Linked DNA regions of Rattus norvegicus. The protein of the gene in region 3 interacts with the protein of the main gene of each other region in a pairwise test. Links are inferred from orthologs where the notes say so. Each region holds a gene or a part of one and is shown on either strand. Other genes may lie near its edges.

Region 1 (5,440 bases), on a different chromosome or scaffold from region 3:
TTTCACAGATGGCCACCTCCTGTTCCCCAAAGCCAACTCAAGAGTTGGCAGGAGCAAAGCCAGAGTCAGGCAGATCATTCATTCATTAACTTATACGTTTATTCTTTCTTTCAACAGATACTGTATGTCTGCGTTGTTCTAGATGACGGAACTATGCCAAAAACTCCCTTTCATTCCTGTGAGGAGAGCTACAGTGAACAGAATAGATTGATAGGCTATTTAGTATACAGGATGGAGGAAAGTGCTCAAGAGAAGAGTGGTGTGTGTGTGTGTGTGTGTGTGTGTGTGTGTGTGTGTGTGTGTGTGTGCAAGCACATGCACATGCATGAGCATGTGTGCATCATGCAAAGTAGCAAGGTTAAGTTGAAATCGAACGTAAGGAGACCAGCCTCTAAGTTCCTCAGTATGCTCCGTGACCATGCTAGCTAAGCAGACATGCAGAGGCTGAACAAGACATGAGCTCAGATCTGGGGGTTCATGGGATTTTGTTCTTCTGCCAGTGCTCCTGACTAAGTGGCACTGGGAAAGTCATTAACATTTCCAAGTTTAAATTCCTCTGCAGTAGGATGACAATTCACTGTCTATGTCCTGCAGCGTTTTGGGGGGTAGATGATAGGGTATGAAGTACTTCCTGGGTACCTCATTCTGAGTGTTCTCCAGTTGCTCTTTCCTGCCCTACTCAGAACCTCAAGGAAGGGTGGCACCTGGAGGTCATGCAGAATAAGTGTCTGTTTCTCTCTTCTCACGCATTCATGGTGTGAAGACCCAGAGAACAGGGGGGTGGAGTTACTAGCCCCCACTCCTTCGTTATGGTTTAAGCCAGACCACTTGTCCACTCAGCCACTTTAGGCCTGGATTTGTGTTGGCCCAGGGAAACTTGGGCTTGTGACCCATTTTCTGGGCATTTTGCACTCTGACTTTGCCATATCCAGCATAATGATCCAGCAGCAAAAGGGCCTAGATTTCAACGCAGCCTGAGCCGAGTCCACCAAGCCACGCTACCTCCAGTCTTATTGCAGAGAAACACGATGTTTGTTCACCCCTGAGATTTCAGGAATAAAGTAGCTGGCTAGTGCAAGCAATGATCCGTACGATTTCTGCTCACATTGCACTGGGGAGCAAGCCGGCCACTATCCAAACAACACCTTCCTCAGTACTCTGATGACATCCTGCGATCACACCACTTTCAAAACAAGAAAACGGAGGGTCACCGAGTTGAAGGAGCATGTCCAAGGTCAGGGCTCACAGTGGAAGCCCAAGTTGAATGCAGGCCTGCTTGCCAGCAAAGCCGAGGGTGTCATGCTTGTGTGCTTCCTTGCAGAGTACCAGGGACAGAGTCAGGAGCAGCCCTGTTCCCTGAGCCATGGGTCCTACCATCCCGTGAGTGAAGCTTATCATTTTAATGCCTGATTTTTCCAGGAAAACACAAGGACTGGGACATGTGACGAATTATAACTGAGTTGTTCATCTCTGGGAAGCAAAAGGAATGTCTCGGAGACGTCTTTGACAACCTTCTTAGCACAGGCCAGGAGTCACCTGTGCCTTACCACTTCCTACTGGAAACTATGGACATCAGTTTTCTCCGTTGCCACATGCTAACTATGTGAAGTCATATGCCTGGAAAGATGGTGACGCTCCCGGAAGTCCTCATGGCAAACGGGGCAAGTGAGAACTTCCTCTCTTCGTTTCTTAGAATGTGGATCGGGGCCCACATGCTCCCTTTTGTGATGGGACCGCATGTGGAAGACCAGGTCAGCTGTCAGACGAAAGGCCAGGTTGCACTTGGCACACCAGTTCTGAGTAGACAAGCCCAGGGAGGAGAGCGTGGGCGGCAAGAGAGCCCGAGAGGCTGTGGCAGAAGATGCCGAGGATGTGAGTGCTTGCACCTGGGTGTGCTCCAGCCATGGTGTAGGAGCCCCCTGGAACGCATTGCAGAGTAGAATGTTCTGTGACAATGTGTGCAATTTCCAGAAATCACCCATGAATTTGAAAGTTGACAGATGCGCCCAATATGGGATGTCCACAGTGGTGATGAGTCCTGAGAGCTCCCACGAGTCGTCTGCACTTCCAACAGCCAGAAGCATGGGGGAGCACTTAGATTTCTCCGCTGGGCGCTTGGCTGGCTTTCTGAAAGCACTTTTCTGCTCGCTCCGGGCTGCGCCTGGCCATACCGGGCACACTGTGCCATCACCTGAGGCTCTGAGGAGACTCACGGGCAGCTGCTGAGTGCCAAGCTGGCCTTCTGGGTTCTCCGACTTCCTTGTCTGGGCCCGGATGTCCCCTGGCCTCTCCTGGAGGCATGACAGCTCTGTGAAGGTATTCTGCCTTTGCTCTGTGCACGCCTTGCAGGCCAGAGGCCTGTCCGGTTGGAGCTTGTCTGGTGCTGCTGACAGGCTCAGGTCCGTGTAGGCTGCATCTTGACCCTCCTTTCCTGCAGCAGCAGCATCAGAGTCCACAAGGGTCATTTTCTCGAGCATCCCCGGCTGGGTCTGCTTGGGTTCCATGAGCTTCCATCGCTTTTCAACTGAAGGCCTCAGAGAAGCTCGTTTGCCCTCAGCCATGTGATCAGTAGGGCCTGACAGGCTAAGCAAGGTGGATGTTCCAGCAGCCATTTGTCTACAGGGCTTTGGGGTTCCAACGAGCTGGTCCCTACCCCCAGGAGGAGCTATGAGATAGGAAAGTCCCCAGTGAAGCCTGGACTGGATGCACTTGACCGCTGATCTCTGCAGGAAGAAAAAATAACAGACAGTGAGGCAGGCACTGGTCATTCAGTATCCCATATAGACCAACACCAGAGAAGCCCACTTTCTCTAGCCTTACATTGATGTTTGTGAAGTGCGAACGGTGTCGTCCCAAAGAGAAGGAGAGAAAAGATGAGTGGCTCAGATAGACCCCAGTAGCAGGTAGAGACCAGTACCTGCCAGAAAGACCCTTGGAGCGATGGCACAAGAATAATATGTCACGACCCCGTTCAGGAAAAGGCAGGGAAGCCACAGAAAACAGCTACTGTGATTAACCAGGCCCGGCTCAAAGCCGCAGAGGCTGGAGGAACAGGAAAGGGAGCCTGATCTGATCTGAGGCAGAAAACAGGAGATCCTGGACACCCAGCAACAAGCTGGCCCTGCGGGGAGGAAGCTGTGCACAGTCTCCAGCATCTCCGTCCGGCTCTGACTCGGTGTTCAAAGACTAGGGAGCCACAGCACCAGGCGGTGATGGTGTGGAAGGTTCGTGCGTTCGTGAGCTCAGCTCCTCATAGCATTCTCTCTCTTCCCTGTCTCCTAAACTAACATTTCTCCACATCTCCTGCCTGCTTCCACGTGATCCCTCTGCACCAATCTTAGATTCCTTGTCCCAGATTTTCCCTACTCCCTTCCAAGCCTGCATACATGATCTGCTTTTCACTGTAGACCCTGCACTGGCTGACACCACGCAGTGGCCTCAGCTGCTGAGTTTCATGCACTTTTCTCCCACTCTGGTCCCCACTAGGGAGCATTTCCCAAGTCCCCCCTAGGAGTTAGGGGTTTGACATCCACGCCAGGGGTAGAGGAAAGAAGGGTAGCTCTTTGTTGTGGGGAAGCTTCAGGGCTTTTTCCGAGAGGCCCTGCTTTGACCTCGCCTGGATCTGGCTACTCTCTGATTCACAAAAGGAAAGCTTCAGAAGGATCACAGTTACAAGTGCCTACAGTAACCAGGCAGCCACAGCGGGGTGCAGAAGCACAAGACAAAAGCTCTAGACTCCTGAGGGATCGATCCTACTGCAGGATCCTATGGATGTTCTTCCCACACTATGGGAGCTCATCACTAAACTGGGACTTGGAAGTGGCTTCGGCTCCCAGTGGAAACTATAACTCACCGCCATTTTCTTTGAAAACTGCAGATGTCCCCTAGTGTGCAGACCTGAGGCTCCCTCAGGAGATTGTTCATCAAGCAAAGGAATGGCTTCTGTCAGCATCTGCCCTCCTCTACCTTAGTCAAAATATTGTCCAGCTGTGACTCTGGGTACAGGTTTCCCTGGGCTGGATGAATGTCACTTCTCCTAGCCTGCTGATCTCTCAGGCCCAGGAGACAGGGCCTGTGCCAGTGTCTGCAATCCATAGCCCCCAGAGGGCACCCAGGTGAGGCATACGGCAAGCCCTCGGGAAGTGCTGTGAGGACCAAAAGGTTCCTAAGCCAGACAATAGAGCCGATGTTTGACAGCCTGCAATCCAGCATCTTGCCTCACAGCCAAGTCTAATATGCTTCTGTTACTGGGGTTCTACACTTCTACTTAGTTCCTGTCTTTCTCCAGTTCATGTCTCCAGCCAGCCCCTCTGATGGCGGGACCCTCCCTGCCCCATAATCTAATAAGTTCCTTCTCTGCTGTGTTGGCCACAGCTGATGTTTGCTGCTTGTACCCTAAGTACTGTGACTGTTCTAGAACTGATAGCCTCACCCAGCTCTTGGGGACTGTGCCTCCAGGACTCTTTCAGGGAGAATGTCAACACAACACACGCTCACGTGTGCACACGTGGGAGCAAACACACATACGGAGGCTTCCATCCAGTGGCACCAGTGGCTCGGCGCCATCCCCACATGTGTGAGCATTGGGTGGCCACTTCTGTATTAGCAGGGTAAACGGCACCACCTGCCAGCTTGCCTTCTTGGGTCATCCTAACATGTTTTCACCCGGGCTGAGTTTCCCCCGCTGGTTGGCATGCTGATTTTAATTCTTGTTGTCAGGTATGCTAGGCCACTTCAGGTACTGAGGGACAGGAACTTCTATAGGCACAAGTGGCCAGAGGGCTGGAGGAACACTTGGCAGGGTGGATGTGGGCTCTCGGGCCTTTACATCACATTGAGCACAGTCCACTCTCCTCCTGGCCTTGTTTCTGTCTAGAGCTCCAGTCTCCCTGGTCTCCACTCACCAGACCCACTCGCTCCACAACTAAACCCACTCATTCCTCCTCTACCCATGTCAACTGTCTACTTGTATCAAACCCCTGAGCATCTACATGTGAACTGGCTTCTGTCCATGCCCTGGAGGGGCCATGGTCTAGAAGGAACAACATTCTGTGAGGGAGGCACATTGAAGATGAAGCTCTCTGAGGGGATGGTGGAGCAAGGCTTGAACACTGCCTGATCATTGGCCTAGTCATCTGGATTTAAAACTAAGAAAGGGAACCTAGCCATCTCCTTGCAGAATACTGGCAGAGCCACAATGCTGACTGGAGCTGCATTCTACAGTTTTCATCGCTAGAAAAGCTTACCCTATGCCGGAGTGACCCACCCTACGCCAGAGTGACCCGGAAGTGGCTAGGCTCCTTACTGGCACTCTGGGGCTTATGGGGCAACCACATCATCTTGCTGCTTTCTGCCTCCCTGTGCAGGAAGCACACAGCACAAACACCCCCACCAACCCATTTCTTTCAGAAGTCCCCAGAGAACTTAAACCAGCATCAGC
Region 2 (4,593 bases), about 150 Mb from region 3:
AATGGCACCACACAACACATTCCGGCGTAGGCCAGGGTTCTTGGCATCTTTCAGGTTAGAGATTCGGCTCCGAACACGGTTCTTGTACTTCATGTCAGTGTTTCCCACATCCAGGAAGATGCGTGCAGGTATTTAAGGACCCATCTGAGGTTTCTGAGCTCCTCCCCCTCCTGGTAGTCATATGGGAAATGTTCTTCCCAGGCTCATGGAGAGGAGTCTACCCACTCAAGACCTGTGGGGGACCCAAGGGTCTATAGTGTTCTGCCTTCTCTAGGCCCACTCCTATTTGAGACCCAGATAAATCTACTAAGTAGTCATAGCCCCTTACCCATTTATGGCCCAGAAAAGGTCAAGGGACCACCCAGAAAGGGCACTGGGTAGCCTACCAGTTGTGTCCAATAGCTACCAGAGAAGCACAACTCAGTGGACGATAGACTCTCTCAGAAGCCCTTAACCATTTACCCTACACAAAGGATATACTCCTCGATCTGAGATGACAGATGCTCACAGCTCACACCAACAGCCACGTGGTCGTCTGTAAGAGGGAGCCTCGCTTGTTTCCCCCACCATCTTTTTCCAACTGCCACCCCTCTGCTTGCACAGAGCCCTAGAAGCTAAACGGGACACTTGCATTCCAGGGAGACATTTCCCACCATACAGATGTTATGGTGACCTCAAAAACCTTAGCCTCTCTGCTAGGTCACAGCGAGCTAAAGAGAAGAGCTGTCTCTCCAGCAGCAAGCTCTGAAGCAGACAGAGGCCCAGGCCACCTACAGAGTCGAAATCCAGACCTTGTAGTACTCACGGTCAGTTTGCAGGGCCAAAGTCAGCATCTCACGACATTTGTTTCGCACAGCATCACAGGTGATGGGCACTTGGGGAAATGTGGTGATCCTCGGAGTGGATGAGGTCCTAGGTGGGTCTGGTTTCTTGCAGCTAGAGAGACAAAGCCTGCTGGGCTCAGTCTGAACCAGTTGAGCTCCGTTGCACATCTCCAGTAGCTGATGATACCTCGGGGAGGTCCCCTGACCTTCCCTAGGCCACAGGTGATCCCCAGGAAAGCAAACATGGATGCCATGCTGATCTCCAAAGTCCATTTGCGCTATCCTGACAGACCTCCAATTACTTAATCTCTTTAGTTCATCCTAGAATTCCTGCGTGTTATGTCCTCCTCATCAGGTCAATATTGGCCAGAAGGCCCACAGTCACTCCCTAAGTGGATGCCAGCCCCTCACAGTCAATGTCTGAGCAACACTCCATGGTCAAAATGGGATGAGATATTCTTGCTACCTCCTGAGTGCTTCCCAGGAGGCCCAAGACATGGGCCATGCTGTGAATACTTCTCTGCTAATGGCAGAACCAGGCAGATACTTCTAGTTGCCTGGAGTAAAGATGAGGTGGGAGGTCACCCAAAGTTGAGTCTTAATGTCACAGGTGACCCCACCCAACATTGAATTGGGCAAGGATTTCCTCAGGTCTGCTGGGCCCACCAGGCCCTTTCCTCACACCACCTCTGGAAAGCAGCAGTTTCAGGTGGTTTTCTGAACCAAAATCAACTGTACTACTTACTGAGCTCAGGATTAACATCATATCAGGAATGCTACACTGGAGTCCAGAGCTTAGCCTGTCATGGCCTCTGCCCAGCCTCTGGTCAAAGTAGCCTCTCATCTATAGTCTGTTACTACTAGTGCTCCTAGTCTCCATGGTAACAGGGCTGCCCGAACCACCTTTAAAGCAATGGTGTTGCCACATGAATGTGGAGATAAGAGCTGAGCTAGGGGTTGGGGATTTAGCTCAGTGGTAGAGCGCTTGGCCCTGGGTTCAGTCCTCAACTCCAGGGGCTTGGCGGGGGAGCCAGCTCGCCTCTAGCTCCGGATGGCATTTGCATGAAGGGACCCATAACACCAGTCCTGATGAGTAGCAAAAAGGTAGGTTTTGAGGAGTAGGCAAGGGGGCCTGGGGTTGGGCCAGCTCTGTTGGATAGGAGCTCCTTGATGAAGCTCTCCATGATGCCAGTGACAGGCAGACACAGCCAGACATCTCAGATGGGCAGGAAGGGAACTGAGCAGTGCAACAGTATCCAGCATGAGGCTAACAAACCTTGTAAATCTCACCCTGGAGAGGAAACGTCCCTCAGGGCAGTAACCAGGCAAATGGACACCAGCCTCCTTTCCCACTGAGGAAACTGAGTCAAGAGGCATAAATGTATGTACCTGCCTTCAGATATGCTACCTGAGATCCGTAGTCCCTGAGGCATCCTTTGAGGACGATGTAGGCAAAGGTGTGCCCCTCCCTTGATCCCTGGATTTGCCATCAGAAACATCTGCCATTATCAGAAAACAGATGGTGCAGACTGGTCAGGCAGCCAGGTGAGGGGCCAGCCTCAGTCTCGCCATTATCCTTTCTGCTTAAAGCTATTTGACAGGCAAGATGCCAGGAGGCTACCAGACCTTCCTACTGGTCCCCAGCCAGTCCACCAGCCCCTTTAGGACCCAGCCTCCCCAAGCAAGCTGTTGTGCAACTCATCAAGGCCCAGCCCAGCCAAAAAAAACAAGCATATGCCTCACACAAGGTTCCTTGTGAAAACATAGGCAGGACCTTGCCCAAAGCCTAAACTAGGGACCAGGGCATGTGACTGTAAAGAGGGGTAGGCCCTGGGTTGTCTCACAGAAGTAGACAGAACCAAGGAAGGCTACCCTCCTAATCAAAAGGACAATCTCTGCAGCCTAGCTGTCCGCTGTCCCCAGAATCAGTTGTTGTCTGCCTAGTTCACCTCTCGTAAAGTCCCACCTCCTCTTCCTTCAGCTGGAGCATCCTGACCTGGACCTCCTTTTCTGTTGGCCTCCTGCAGCTTGAAAACCTCCTCTTCAGCATGTTCCCTTGTCTCAATGATCCTGCCTCGCAGGCCGTCACCTCCCCATCACAACAGATGCCTTCCATCATCTCCATCCACTTCCAGGCCAGGGATGGGTACTTTCTGATCTATGTCTGTCCTATCCCACTACATATAGCTTCAATCAGGACAGCAGAGCCAGCACTCTATGCTGTGCTGACCAGCAAGAGCTGCCCTTTACATTCTGAGACTCACCCAAGAGCTTCTTCCAGGACTTGATGAGGGACTTGGCAAGTGCAATGAGCTCCTCGTCTGAACTCTGCTTCCGCAGAGCGTTGACAGACATCCCAACACGGGTGGACTGCAAGGCAAGTGGCCTGAGTCAGAGGTGGTAGGGGCCTGTTCCAGAGGCAAATCCTCATCAAGGACTCTTGGCTCCCACAGTCAACAGCTGGGGAATGGGCAGGGACAGAAAACATCTCTCCCAATGGCTTTTTGGAACCCAGGGTACCTACCTCCCACCTCCCTGATCACCAGAGAGAATCAGAAATCCTCTCCTTAGAAGAGTTGTTTGTGGCAGTTATGCCAGGTGGTACTTAAGCCATAGGGAGCCCTGCTGGATGCCCCTGGAATTGCTGTCTCCGGAACCATCCTAAATCAGGACAGAAACACTTACCTGGAGCAAGTGCAATGTAATAGGCATATTCTTCAGCTCCCGCAGCAAATCCATGGCTCCCTCCTAGAAGGAAAATGGACATCCATAAAGGACTTTAAACCTTAGTGGATGCTGGGTAATGGTGGTACATGTCTTTAATCCCAGCATTCAGGACGCAGAGGCTGGTGAATCTCTGAGTTCAAGGCCAGCCTAGCCTACAGAGTGAGTTCCAGGATGGTCAGGACTACACAGAGAACACTAGTTGGGAGGCTTAGTGGACAACCCCACCTCGTTCTGATCACATGTGGGACAACTGAGATTCCCAGAGCATTGCATACTTGTTCCAACATCACAGCAGGGGCTTTTTACTGATCTTGCCATAGGGCAAGGATAGAGACAAACAGCCCGACCATGCTGTCCTCAAACATCAGGTGGTTTCTCACCCTGCATCTATGCTGATCTCCAGACATCATGGTAACCACAGGAGGACACTGAACAAGCTACTAGAGAAAAAGAAAAGCCCCAGTTCCTGCTCGACATGGAAGGACACTCAGGTTCCTTAACCTTAGTCCACCTATGCCATGGTGGCAGAGCAGGCTCTCCTCAAAGTGCCTAGCCATCAGTGTGGCACTATTCCCGGGCACTGTAACAGACAAACCTCTGCCCTGGCTTTTCTTCAGCATCTGCAGATAGGCTGCACCTCCAGAGTGGGCAGGTTCTTCCTGTCCCTACCTAAAACTCTCTACCTAAACTCTCAGGAATCTCTGCTCTAGCCAGATTTGCAAAGTTACAGCACCATAGCCAATGAGGTTTATCAGAGGCACAATTATTGCTAATTGAAAACTACCAAACCTGGTGACACAGGCCTTATCATCTTAGATACTTAGGAGGCTGGGGCAAGAGGATCAAAAGTTCAAAGCTTATCTGAGTCTCAGAGTGAACTCAAGATTAGCATGGGAATCCTAATGAGACCTTGTCTTAAAACAAAGTAAAGAGAGGGCCATCTAGACACAGCTGTGGTAAAGCACTTACTTGGCAAGTTAAGGCCCTGGGTTCAATACCCAGTATCAAAAAAGAGGGCAGGTGAGATGGCTCAGCAGATAAA
Region 3 (5,440 bases):
GCAACGTGCCTTCTGCTCTCTCAGCTGCACGCGGAGTCGGGCCTGCTCTTCCTCAGCTCTGGCTATCGCTGCATTGCAGAAGGCCACCTGCACACAGAGGGAGGTGTGCCTCTCAGGGAAACATTCAGGGCAAAGTGGGCAGGGAGAGAGGGAGCACCAGTTCCCAGATGGGAGACTAACCACTGGCTCCCAAGCACAAAGTGGTAATCAAAAGAAATCAGAGGGCAGGAAACCAAGGACCACAGAGGTAGAAAAGAGAAGGGCAAGCAGAGCCCAGCTCACCATAGCCTCTCTACTGACAAGGTCTTCTGGGATGGTCAGACTGGGCTGAGGAACCTCCTCGTCTTGCTCCTCCTGGTCCATATCTCCTGGGGGCAGACAGTTGCTGTAGGCTGTCTCCTCTAATAATCCCAGCAGGTAGACAGAGTGGGCTGGGGGAGGAGAGCTCAGAGCCCCACCCCTGCATCCCCACTCTCTACCCTAGGACCAGCCAGTGACTAGAAAATGCCCAATCAAAGCTGCTCCAAATACATCAACTCTAGTCCTCTCCTCCTGGGTGGTCTTACCTTCCCCAGGGAGGACCAAGAGGCTCAGCTGGGCTTGGAGCTGTTGGTTCTCCTGGCTGCTAGCTTTTAGGCGCTCCTAAGGGGCCAGGAGAGAATGAGAAGGGACAGAGGTGGCCAGATCCTCCCCCTGGGCCCAGTCTTAACAGCTGCCTCACCTGTGCCTCCTGCAGCTCCTGGCGGGCCATCTCGGCTGCCATCTTGCCCTGAACTTCCTCATGCTGCAACTGGTCCATGAGCTGTGTCTGCAGCAGAAGCTGCTTGTGCAGTGCCTCCTTCTCAGAGGTCAGCTGCTCATAGGCTGTCAAGTGCTGTTGGTAGGCGGCAGCGTACTGCTGCAGGTGGGACAGGCACTGGTCTCGCTGCTCCTGCAGACCCTGTGCTTCTTGGCTCTTCAGCTCCACCTGCAGGAAGGCTAGGGCTGAGGGCAGGCAGTGCTGGCTGCCACGGCCTGAGCGCCTGCCTTTGTACCCAGCCTCACATAGTCACCTTTCTCACTCCTTTAGGCCCCAAGAGTGGAAAAGCAGATGGAACTAACCCATTCTGTTCTGCACAAACCTACTAGTACCCGTTATTTTATGCACATTTTCTCATTAAACCTTTAACACCTCTATGAGAAAACTCATCTTTTAACTTCAGTGACTAGGTTTGGAGATGGGAAGCACTTGAACACATGGGTGTGAATCCAGCCTGAACCCAGAGCCCTGCATAAAAGGACAACGACTATAAAAGGGCAGCTCCTGGATAGAGAGCAGTCCAGGGATACCTGTTCCAGGCTGTGGCTAATCTGTGATGGGCCTTGCACCCACCCTCCCCAGGTCTGGTGGCCAACACCACATGTAGTAGGCCTTACCGTCTCCTTCAGCTCTCCCAGCCTCTCCTGAAGCTCTCCCAGCTTCCTGGCCAGCTCTTTCTTGACATGCTGCTCTGATTGTAACGCACTGGTAATCTCCATGTTCTCATTTGTCTGGACAGAAAGCAACAGTCAGTAGGACCTAATGTGGCTGGAGTCCCCAGAATTGCATGTGTACTCCCTCTCAGAGTAGGGAAGGCTGCTGGATCATTCCCACACACCCTAGGGCTCGGGATTGTGGGGTGCCTTCACCACTACCACCTAACGTGAGGCGGACAGCACCCCATCCTCTGCCGGTGCTGACCAAAAGGGGTGAGTGTGTTCCCTGTAAGCAAGGAGGGCCTGCAGGCTCCGCACCAGCCTGACGAAGCCGTTCTGCAGCTCAGCCAGCTGCTCCTTGAGCTCGCGATTCTGTGACAGCGCTCTGCTGATGGTGGTGCGGTCACTCTGCATGCTCTCCAGGATCTGCTTGCGCTCCTCTGCCTGCTCGCTCCAGTGCTGGGCCTCGCGCTCCAGCTCCAGCAGCCGTCCCTCCTGCTCCCGGTTCAGGTGGCTCAGGCTCTCATTGTCCTGCACCTGGGCCCGCAGCTGACCCGTCAGACCCTCCAGTTCCTTCTGCAGCTGCTCAACCTCTCCCTGCAGCCGCTCTTCGGCCTCTGAAGGCCCAGTTGGAGGCTCTGGAGGTGGTGGCTCCTCTGAGAAAGGAAGCAGGCACTGTGAGTCAGGCTCCCTGCCCTAAGCCTTGGCTTCTTTTCTGTCAGGGTCTCAGATGAGGCAAGTGTTTCAAGCCACTCTAGCACAGATCTGGGATGCTCAGTCACCTGCTGAGGTGTAGTAGTAGGCATGCCACCCTGTTTTGCACAGAAAGGCACATGCTCAGAGAGATGACAAGGCTTGTCACCTCGTCCTGGCAGAGACCCTTTGCCCCCATTACAATGCCCTTACACCCACCTGCCCCCCTGGGCAATGGAAGCCACCTTCATGGCTCCTCGACCCACTCCTGCTCTCAGGTCACCCTTGCCCTACTCACCCATCTGACTCCTGAGTTCAGCCAAGCTGGCCTCCAGCTCTTGTACCTGACTTTCTCTCTGCTCCTTCTCTTCCTTCAGTGCGTGCACCTGCCCAAGGCACAGGGTGGGGGTGCTGGAGATCCCAGGCCCACCCATCCCCAGTCCCACCTCTGCAAAACTGAAGCCCCTAAGCCCTCAGCTCCACGACACTGATGCCCAGGAAGAGCGAAGACTCCAGAGGCCAGGCCTCACCTGCTCTGCCATCTGCTGTACCCTCTGCTGCCACATGGCACTCTCTCCTTTCAGGTTCTCTGCGTACTGGTCTCTCTCCACCTGGAGCTGTTTCAGTGACTCCATCAGCTGCATCAGTCAATATACGAGTTATGAAGGGCTGTCACAGGTCCTCACCAAGGGCCATTGCGGGGGGAGGGGGGATCATGCCCTTCCCCTCCCCCCACAGATCCTCACCTGGCCAACATGGCTCTCCAGCTGAGCCCGCTCCTCCATGGCCTGTTGCAACTGCTCATTACTGCCAGAAGCCTCAGATTGGCTAGAGAACTGCATGAGGGAAAGGAGGGCTTAGATCTGGGAGCCTATGCTGTTCTGCTGAAGTGCTCCCCACAAGAGTGTGAGCTAGGATGACAACCCAGGGTCATTGCCATAGGAGAAAGTGTCAGGAAAAGCTAAGCAGACTCCTGTTGGGCCATTTAAATGAAACAGAACGCTGGCATTTCAGCAGGCCTAGTGGCTCATGCCTACAACCTCCCACTTGGAAGGCTACGGTAGGAGGATTACCATGAGTTCAAGGCTTACCTGGTAAGTTACAGGTCACCCTGGGCTACTGATAAGACTGTCTCAACAATAATATAAATAAATAAAGTAAGGATCCAACAGCCACATCACCCTCACTAAGACTCTGATTCACAGGTGTGGCGGGGGCTCCACTGAGCAATTAGTAAACAGCATCAGCACAGGACAGGAGGAGGTTCCAAACTGTCCATACTTGGCCGCAGGTCACCCCCAAGGAGCCACAGACTTTGTGCCTGGGCCTTAGGGGTGAGGGCTGCACTTCTCACCTGTTGCAGCAGCAGCTCTGACATCTCTAACTTCTTCTGCAGCTCCTCTGCCCCCAACTGTGCAGCTGCTTTCTCTGCCACCAGGACTCGAAGTTTCTCTTCCAGTTCTGAGTTCTGCTGCCTCAGGTCCTCATTACTTTTGCTGGGGCCAGTGGCAAGGTGGAAAGGAAGGAATCAAGAACAGAAAGGAGCCCATTTCAGAGTGATGTGTGAGTCCTGCCACAGCACCACAGGACAGAGCACTGAGTCACAAGCGACAGGCCTCAGAGACTGAGTTACCTGGGACCACACCATGAGTCAGGAGCATGGCTGGGACCAGAGCTCAGCTCTACACAAACCCAAGCCTGTCTGGGCTGAGTCTCCACTCTCCACACTGAGGCTGCAGAGAGCCCAGCCGCCTTCCCATTCTTACCCATTCTTGTATAGCTCCAGCTTGAGGGCGTCTCGCTCTTTGGTTAGGTCCTTGTTGTACTGCAGACAGAGAAAGCAGAGTTTGGACATGAAAGGCTGAAGCAGCCGCTGGCACAACACCAACGGCCTGGTGATATTCTCCAGTGACAATTCCTCTTCCTAATCACACTTGGCATTTTCCCAAGGCATTTCTACATTTCTGTCTCCTTTGTGATTCTGTCCGTTTGTTTTGTTTTTAAGATGGGGTGACACTATGTTATCTAAGATGGCTTCAACCTCCTGGGCTGAGAGGGCTCAGCCTCTCCAGTAGCTGGGACCAGAGGTCACAGTCTTCAGGGTTGCTTTGTTCTACTTATTTATACGGAGTGGTGTTCTGTCTACATATGTCTGTGCTCCACAAGCGTGAGTTACAGACAGTTGTGAAGCACCACGTGGCTACTGGGAATCGAACACTCTTCTGATGGAGAGCCAGTGCTCTTGCTCACCCTGCCATCTCTCTAGCTCTGCTTTTGTTTTTAATTAATCATATATTATTTTTGCAAGGCTGGGATCAAACTCAAGCCCGTGTATAGGTCAGGCAATTGCTCTATGACTGACCAACAACACACTAGCTCTCTTTTAAAGCTCTCCTTTTTCTCTCTTCCTAAATACAGTCTGAGGGATCCAGGTAAGCCTAGAATTTACAAGCTGGCCTTGAACCCTCCTGTCTCAGTCTCCCCAGTGCTGAGATTACAGACACGTGTCGCCTTGCCCAGTGACGCATGGTTTTATGAAACACAGTCTCATGAAGATGAAACTGGCCTTTAACCCCACCTCTTCCTGCTTCTTTCTTCCAAGTGACAGGTATGTGCCACTCCATCTGCCTCACTCCTGTTGTTGCTGTTACTATTACAACTACCACTTATACTACTACTTTTTTTTTTTTACTTTTTGAGACAGGGTCTCTCTATATACAGCAGGCTGTTTAATTTGCAGAGATTCGCTGCCTCTGCCTCCAGAGTGCTGATATCAAAGGTGTGGGCCACCACCACCTCACTAGTACTGCCTTTCCTTTGTTTTGTTTTTTTTTTTTTAAGATTTATTTGTTTTTATTTATATGAGTACACTGTCACTCTCTTCAGACACACCAGAAGAGGGCATCGGATCCCATTACAGATGGTTGTGAGCCACCATGTGGTTGCTGGGAATTGAACTCAGGACCTCTGGAAGAGCAGTCAGTGCTTTTAACCGCTGAGCCATCTCTCCAGCCCTGCTTTGCTTTTTAATAAGAACTCATGAGCAGGATGGTGGCAGAGACCTTAGTCCCAGTGCTTCGGTGGCAGAGGCAGGTAGATAGATCCCTATGAGTTCAAGAACAGGCAGGTCTACAGAGTTAGTTCAGGACAGTCAAAGCTCACAGAGAAACCCTGTCTCAAACAAACAAACAAACAAACAAACAAACAAAAAACAAAAACAAAAACAAAAACAAGACAAAACCAACAATACAGGCAGTGTTTGGTGCACACCTTAACCCCAGCCTTTGGAAGG
Region 4 (4,461 bases), on a different chromosome or scaffold from region 3:
AGCAGGCAATGGTGGCAGCAGTCCCCAAAAGCAGCCCTACTCTGAAAAGCACCCATGGGTACACTACGGATGTATTGTGACACCAGTGTCCAGGGCTCACATGGTCACCACACAGAGACATCGATGTGACTGAAAAGCTCCTCTCTTGAAGTTCTCACCTGCAGCTCAACGTCCAGTAGGAATACATTCCCGAGGTCAAGGACACAGGGACAGCAACTCCTACAGGATTCCAGAACACCAGTGTAAAGAGAAAATCCTCTGAGACACTGACCCTCTGCACGGAACAGAAGGAAAGAAAATGGTACTCACCACTCCACTTCCCTAAACCTATCTGGTCCTCAGAGCTGGCTTACCTTGCTTACCTCCTTCTCAATCTGGGGAACACACAGGAGCCAGGTCTGCAAACCATGGGGCCCAACTGCTAGCCAGACTGTCCAGGGCCCAGTGGAGAAGGAGGCCCTTCCCAGGACACATCAGCTCTGACCTAGAGGCCTGCGCACCCTCAGGGACCGCCCCAGTCCTCACTGTTCTCTATGGCTTTTTATTCCTATGTGATACTATTGCTCGCTCATATAGGGATTGGAGCCGTGGCGCACGGTGAGGGTAGCCAACAGAGGGCTCTGATGTGGAACAAGAGGGCACAAGGCAAACCAGGCCAGTGGCTGCAGGCCAAGCCAAGTGACTCACCTCTGCCAGCTATGACAGGATGGGCTGAGGGACTGCTGAGCTCCTTCAGCGCTCTGACCTACCATTCTAGTGCTCGAGACACTCACTGAAATGCTGGCACCAGGGCCCAGAGGAGCGGCCCTGGAACGTGGCATGTTTAGCCTGGGAAAAGGGGACACAGGAGAGCAAGTTCAATGCCCTGCAGCCTGAAGAAGACCCTTGATAACCAGGGGGTAAGGGGGAAAGCAAAGAGTGGTCCAAATACAGAAGGAAGATCCTTGGTGGCAAGTAGATCCTTTCCACCCAGCCAGGCTACAGCCGGAGAGGAGACACCATGACCAGGTTGCCACAGGGAGTCATGGTTAAGCAGGCGACGATAAGCCTGTCCTGCTCACCCACATGAGGCTGCCAGACGCCAGATTCAATCGTCACAGACTCCCGTAACAGCGTGAGAAACTCTGCAAGGTGCTGGCACCAATGCTAGGACCACGTCACGTGCCCCAGCAGCCCCCGAAGGTCTGTGTTACAGAAGAGGCACTGAGGGAAGATGAACTGAGATTCCCACAACATGGTCCTCTTTATTTTCAGTCTCCCTACCTTTGCGCCATGGAAGAAACAGGCTGAGGGCATGGGCAGAACTGTGAACTGGCCCAGAAGCTTCCTGCTGACATGACAGAAAAGAGGGGTGTAAAGGAACCCCCATCTTCTAATCTAGTTGGGGGAACAAACATGGAGTAGATCTGTGGGAGGTGGGTGGAGCAACAGAGGAGGGCTTCCTAAAGCACAATGGGCCCTGGGAATCAGTCCTCTGTCTTCCTACCAGACCCTGCCCTTGAAGGCCTCTTATAAACTCTCAGACTGTGAGCTATGCCATCACTGAGGATGAAAAACCAGGAGGTGGACATCCATGACATTGGTTCCCGTCAACCCTGTATGCAGCAAATGTGTTCCACCCTGGAAGCTGCAAAAGAACGTGTACGAGTCATTGTTGTCGAGGAAGGTGGCAAAATCCAGGTTTTCAGCAGAAGCCTGGCTAACAAGGTCAGACATGACCCAGGCCCCGGCCACCTTTGTAGGCCCGTCCTGCCCATCAGTGCCTCCACTCAAGAACAGCACATCAACAGGCCCCAGTGGCTGCTTTCCCAGCTCTGCTCCCACACGCAGGGCCAGTTCTTGGTTCCGACCGCCCTTGCCAGATCCCTGCAGCTGCACGGTGGGCTCCCCGCCAGCCAGGAGGCAGACTGGCCCTTTAGCCTTTGCCACAGCTTCCAGAGCCTCCTCCAGCTGCAGGTCCGGGAGCTGGAGCTCAGCTGCCAGCTGATGGAGTTTTGCCTCCTCCTCCAAGGGACGCTCAGCTGTGGATGAAGTGAGGCAGGCTGCAGCCACCCGGGCTAGCAGCCCATAGAACTGAGCCACACGTCTTACATCACCCTGCATGGCTGTGCTCAACACCATGGCGTGGTAGCCCAGGACCTCAGCTTGCCGCTGAGCCTCGGCCAGGGCCAGAGAATTAGAGCCGATGATCACATTGAGGACGTGACCACAGGTATGTGGTCCGTGGGGATCAGAGTCAGCCCGAGAGAGCACGGTCTTCACAGAGCGTGGCAGAGCAGCACGGAGACCATAGTGATTAAGAATATGCAGGCAATCTTGCACACTGTGGGTGCTGGCCACTGTAGGGCCACTGGCAATCACCTCCAAAGGGTCCCCGATCACATCTGACAAGATGAGGCTTACCACCTAGACAAAGGCCACAGAATGAGGTTCAGAGTCGCACCTCCATGTCCCAGGGCCCTAAAGGACAAACTGACCCTGGGTATACAGCACCTGGCATGCTTCCGTGCCCACATCTACCCACTTCCTGCCACTTTCAGGTGGGCTGGCAGAACACCTAACCAGGGAGCCTCCCTCTTACCCCCTTTCAGCTTCCTCCCAGGACTTTCCAGACGAGGCCCCTGCCAATTCCTACGTTCTAAGATAAGCTCTCATCTCCCCCTCACATGTTGGGAACACAGGGCTGACTGAAGAAGTGATTAGAGCACCTGAGCAGGGTAGGCGGCCTGAGCCAGCCCTCCACCCTTCAGCTGGGACAGGGCCTTGCGGATCGTGTTCAGCTCCTGGATTGTGGCTCCTCGGGCCGCCAGCAGCTTGGTGAGCGTCTGTTTCTCCTCTAGTGTGACAGGTGGGATAGGAGCGGGCAGCAGGGCTGAGCCCCCACCTGCAGAGTCAGTGAGGGTGTCAGGGAGAGGAGACAGCCCTTCACAGAGAACCAGACAGGCCACAAGGGAAGTGGTCTAAGAAGGTGGGGTTGCAGTGCCCCCTTGTGGACACAGAGTGAAGTTGTGCCCCCTACCTAGGGTCCACCAGATCCCAGAAGGGCTGGGATATGCTTGCCTAACCTGTGTGAAGCTCTGAACTCAATCCCCAGTACCACAAAATAAACAAACAAATAAATAAATAAATAAATTTAAAATTTAAAGCTAAGGAAGAACAAGAAAAAACAGCAGATACACAAGGAGAGAGTTGAGTGGGGGCTGGAAACCAGCTTCGGGAGCCTGAGTGATACTCTTCCAGACAGCAATGTTCTCCAAAGGTTCTGATGTAGTTTAGTGTTAAGTACCCGGCTGTGCCTTCACCACTACAGAATGTTCGGGAGGGCAAACTTACAGCTGAGGATGGATGACTGACCCGACACTACCCACAAGGTACCCTCCAGGTTCCTCAGTGTCTCCCTTGGTCCCGACTTCACCCTGTGACCACCCGGCACGGGGACATCCCTGTCAGCTGTCCCCTGAGATGAGCCACACCTGAGATGAGCACAAGCAGCAGGTCGTCGGCAGTGAGCCTCTCTGCCAGCTGCTGGATGGCCTGAGCGGCCCGAAGTGCATCCCGATCCGGTAAGTTGTCCTCGGCGCCCTCAAACACCTGGATGTGGCTGTGTGGCTTCAGCAGCATCTCTCTGAGAAGGGGGCAAACAAGGGAGAAGAGATGGGGTGGGCTCCTCTCCTCCCACCTGACTTCTCAGCTGCAGCTGCATAGGTGAAAGTGGCCCACTGATACCTACTTTGAAACCAGGCCAGACCCAGGAGATAGGGAGGTCAAGAGGAAGGGAGGTTTTCCTCCAAAGGACAGTAGAGGGCATTCCCTGTCCCCATAGATTCTTACTGCTTTCCGGCAAGCTCCACGGCAGCTCGGATCCCCTTGGGTACGCTGATAACACCCTGCACAAGATGCTGGCCCAGTAGCTCATCAGCTGCAGCAGCCATACCCAGTACGGCCTTGCCGAAGCCCACTAGGTAGAGGTTTTCTTGTAGCTGAAAGGTCCGGTCCCTCACCTTCAGTTGTTTGCCACTAGGATCCAAGGACAGTGTCCTCTGCAGCATGGGGCCTGGCTGCACAGCACCCACAGCGCTATCAAACAGCTGCCGTGCCTGTTCTGCCAAGGCCATACCACTGGTCATCCGGGCCACCGGGGGCCCCCAGAGGAATGGCCGTGACGGGGCTCGGAGGAGACAGGGCAAGACCTGTAGGGCTGCAGCCATGCCCCGCTTCTCTCAGCACAGCCTTGCATCCATAGCTGCCTAGAAAGGGAAAAGAAGGAGTGAGACCACAGACAGAACCCCACCATCGCAGCCACCCCTCTGAGGGCTCAGGACTGGTGGGCTCCATAACCTGAAATGAAAACTGAAGAACTCATGAAGCCTGTAGCAAGCCTGATCTTATACCAGTCCTGAAAGCCCGGCCCTGATGCCCAGCCACGCACGTCCTCTTCTGTAGGCCACACACCAGTCTTCT

What was found. The genes of interacting proteins can lie anywhere in the genome.
Region 1: the proteins of Golga2 (region 3) and Zfp488 interact in binary tests that used the Homo sapiens proteins (3 or more experiments, as listed by UniProt). The two-hybrid records come from large-scale screens. The link is inferred for Rattus norvegicus from reciprocal best matches to the Homo sapiens genes GOLGA2 and ZNF488.
Region 2: the proteins of Golga2 (region 3) and Tcea2 interact in binary tests that used the Homo sapiens proteins (3 or more experiments, as listed by UniProt). The two-hybrid records come from large-scale screens. The link is inferred for Rattus norvegicus from reciprocal best matches to the Homo sapiens genes GOLGA2 and TCEA2.
Region 4: the proteins of Golga2 (region 3) and Glyctk interact in binary tests that used the Homo sapiens proteins (3 or more experiments, as listed by UniProt). The two-hybrid records come from large-scale screens. The link is inferred for Rattus norvegicus from reciprocal best matches to the Homo sapiens genes GOLGA2 and GLYCTK.

The regions. Positions count from the first base shown.
Region 1 is NC_086034.1:9,289,210-9,294,649, forward strand, and holds the end of Zfp488 (zinc finger protein 488), read right to left. Parts: intron 2,724-5,440; 5' UTR 2,613-2,723; coding exon 1,596-2,612; 3' UTR 77-1,595; downstream 1-76. UniProt on the Homo sapiens protein: Transcriptional repressor. Plays a role in oligodendrocyte differentiation, together with OLIG2. Mediates Notch signaling-activated formation of oligodendrocyte precursors.
Region 2 is NC_086021.1:189,175,605-189,180,197, reverse strand, and holds part of Tcea2 (transcription elongation factor A protein 2), read right to left. Parts: intron 3,573-4,593; coding exon 3,510-3,572; intron 3,195-3,509; coding exon 3,089-3,194; intron 2,324-3,088; coding exon 2,233-2,323; intron 952-2,232; coding exon of another isoform or gene 937-951; coding exon 806-936; intron 536-805; coding exon 479-535; intron 123-478; coding exon 1-122. UniProt on the Homo sapiens protein: Necessary for efficient RNA polymerase II transcription elongation past template-encoded arresting sites.
Region 3 is NC_086021.1:35,994,217-35,999,656, reverse strand, and holds part of Golga2 (golgin subfamily A member 2), read right to left. Parts: intron 3,974-5,440; coding exon 3,915-3,973; intron 3,645-3,914; coding exon 3,503-3,644; intron 2,985-3,502; coding exon 2,895-2,984; intron 2,787-2,894; coding exon 2,679-2,786; intron 2,535-2,678; coding exon 2,447-2,534; intron 2,112-2,446; coding exon 1,774-2,111; intron 1,531-1,773; coding exon 1,417-1,530; intron 968-1,416; coding exon 722-967; intron 643-721; coding exon 567-642; intron 402-566; coding exon of another isoform or gene 366-401; coding exon 283-365; intron 88-282; coding exon 1-87. UniProt on the Homo sapiens protein: Peripheral membrane component of the cis-Golgi stack that acts as a membrane skeleton that maintains the structure of the Golgi apparatus, and as a vesicle thether that facilitates vesicle fusion to the Golgi membrane.
Region 4 is NC_086026.1:115,674,852-115,679,312, forward strand, and holds the end of Glyctk (glycerate kinase), read right to left. Parts: exon of another isoform or gene 4,339-4,461; intron 4,248-4,338; 5' UTR 4,209-4,247; coding exon 3,832-4,208; intron 3,626-3,831; coding exon 3,474-3,625; intron 2,885-3,473; coding exon 2,709-2,884; intron 2,407-2,708; coding exon 1,540-2,406; 3' UTR 1,220-1,539; downstream 1-1,219.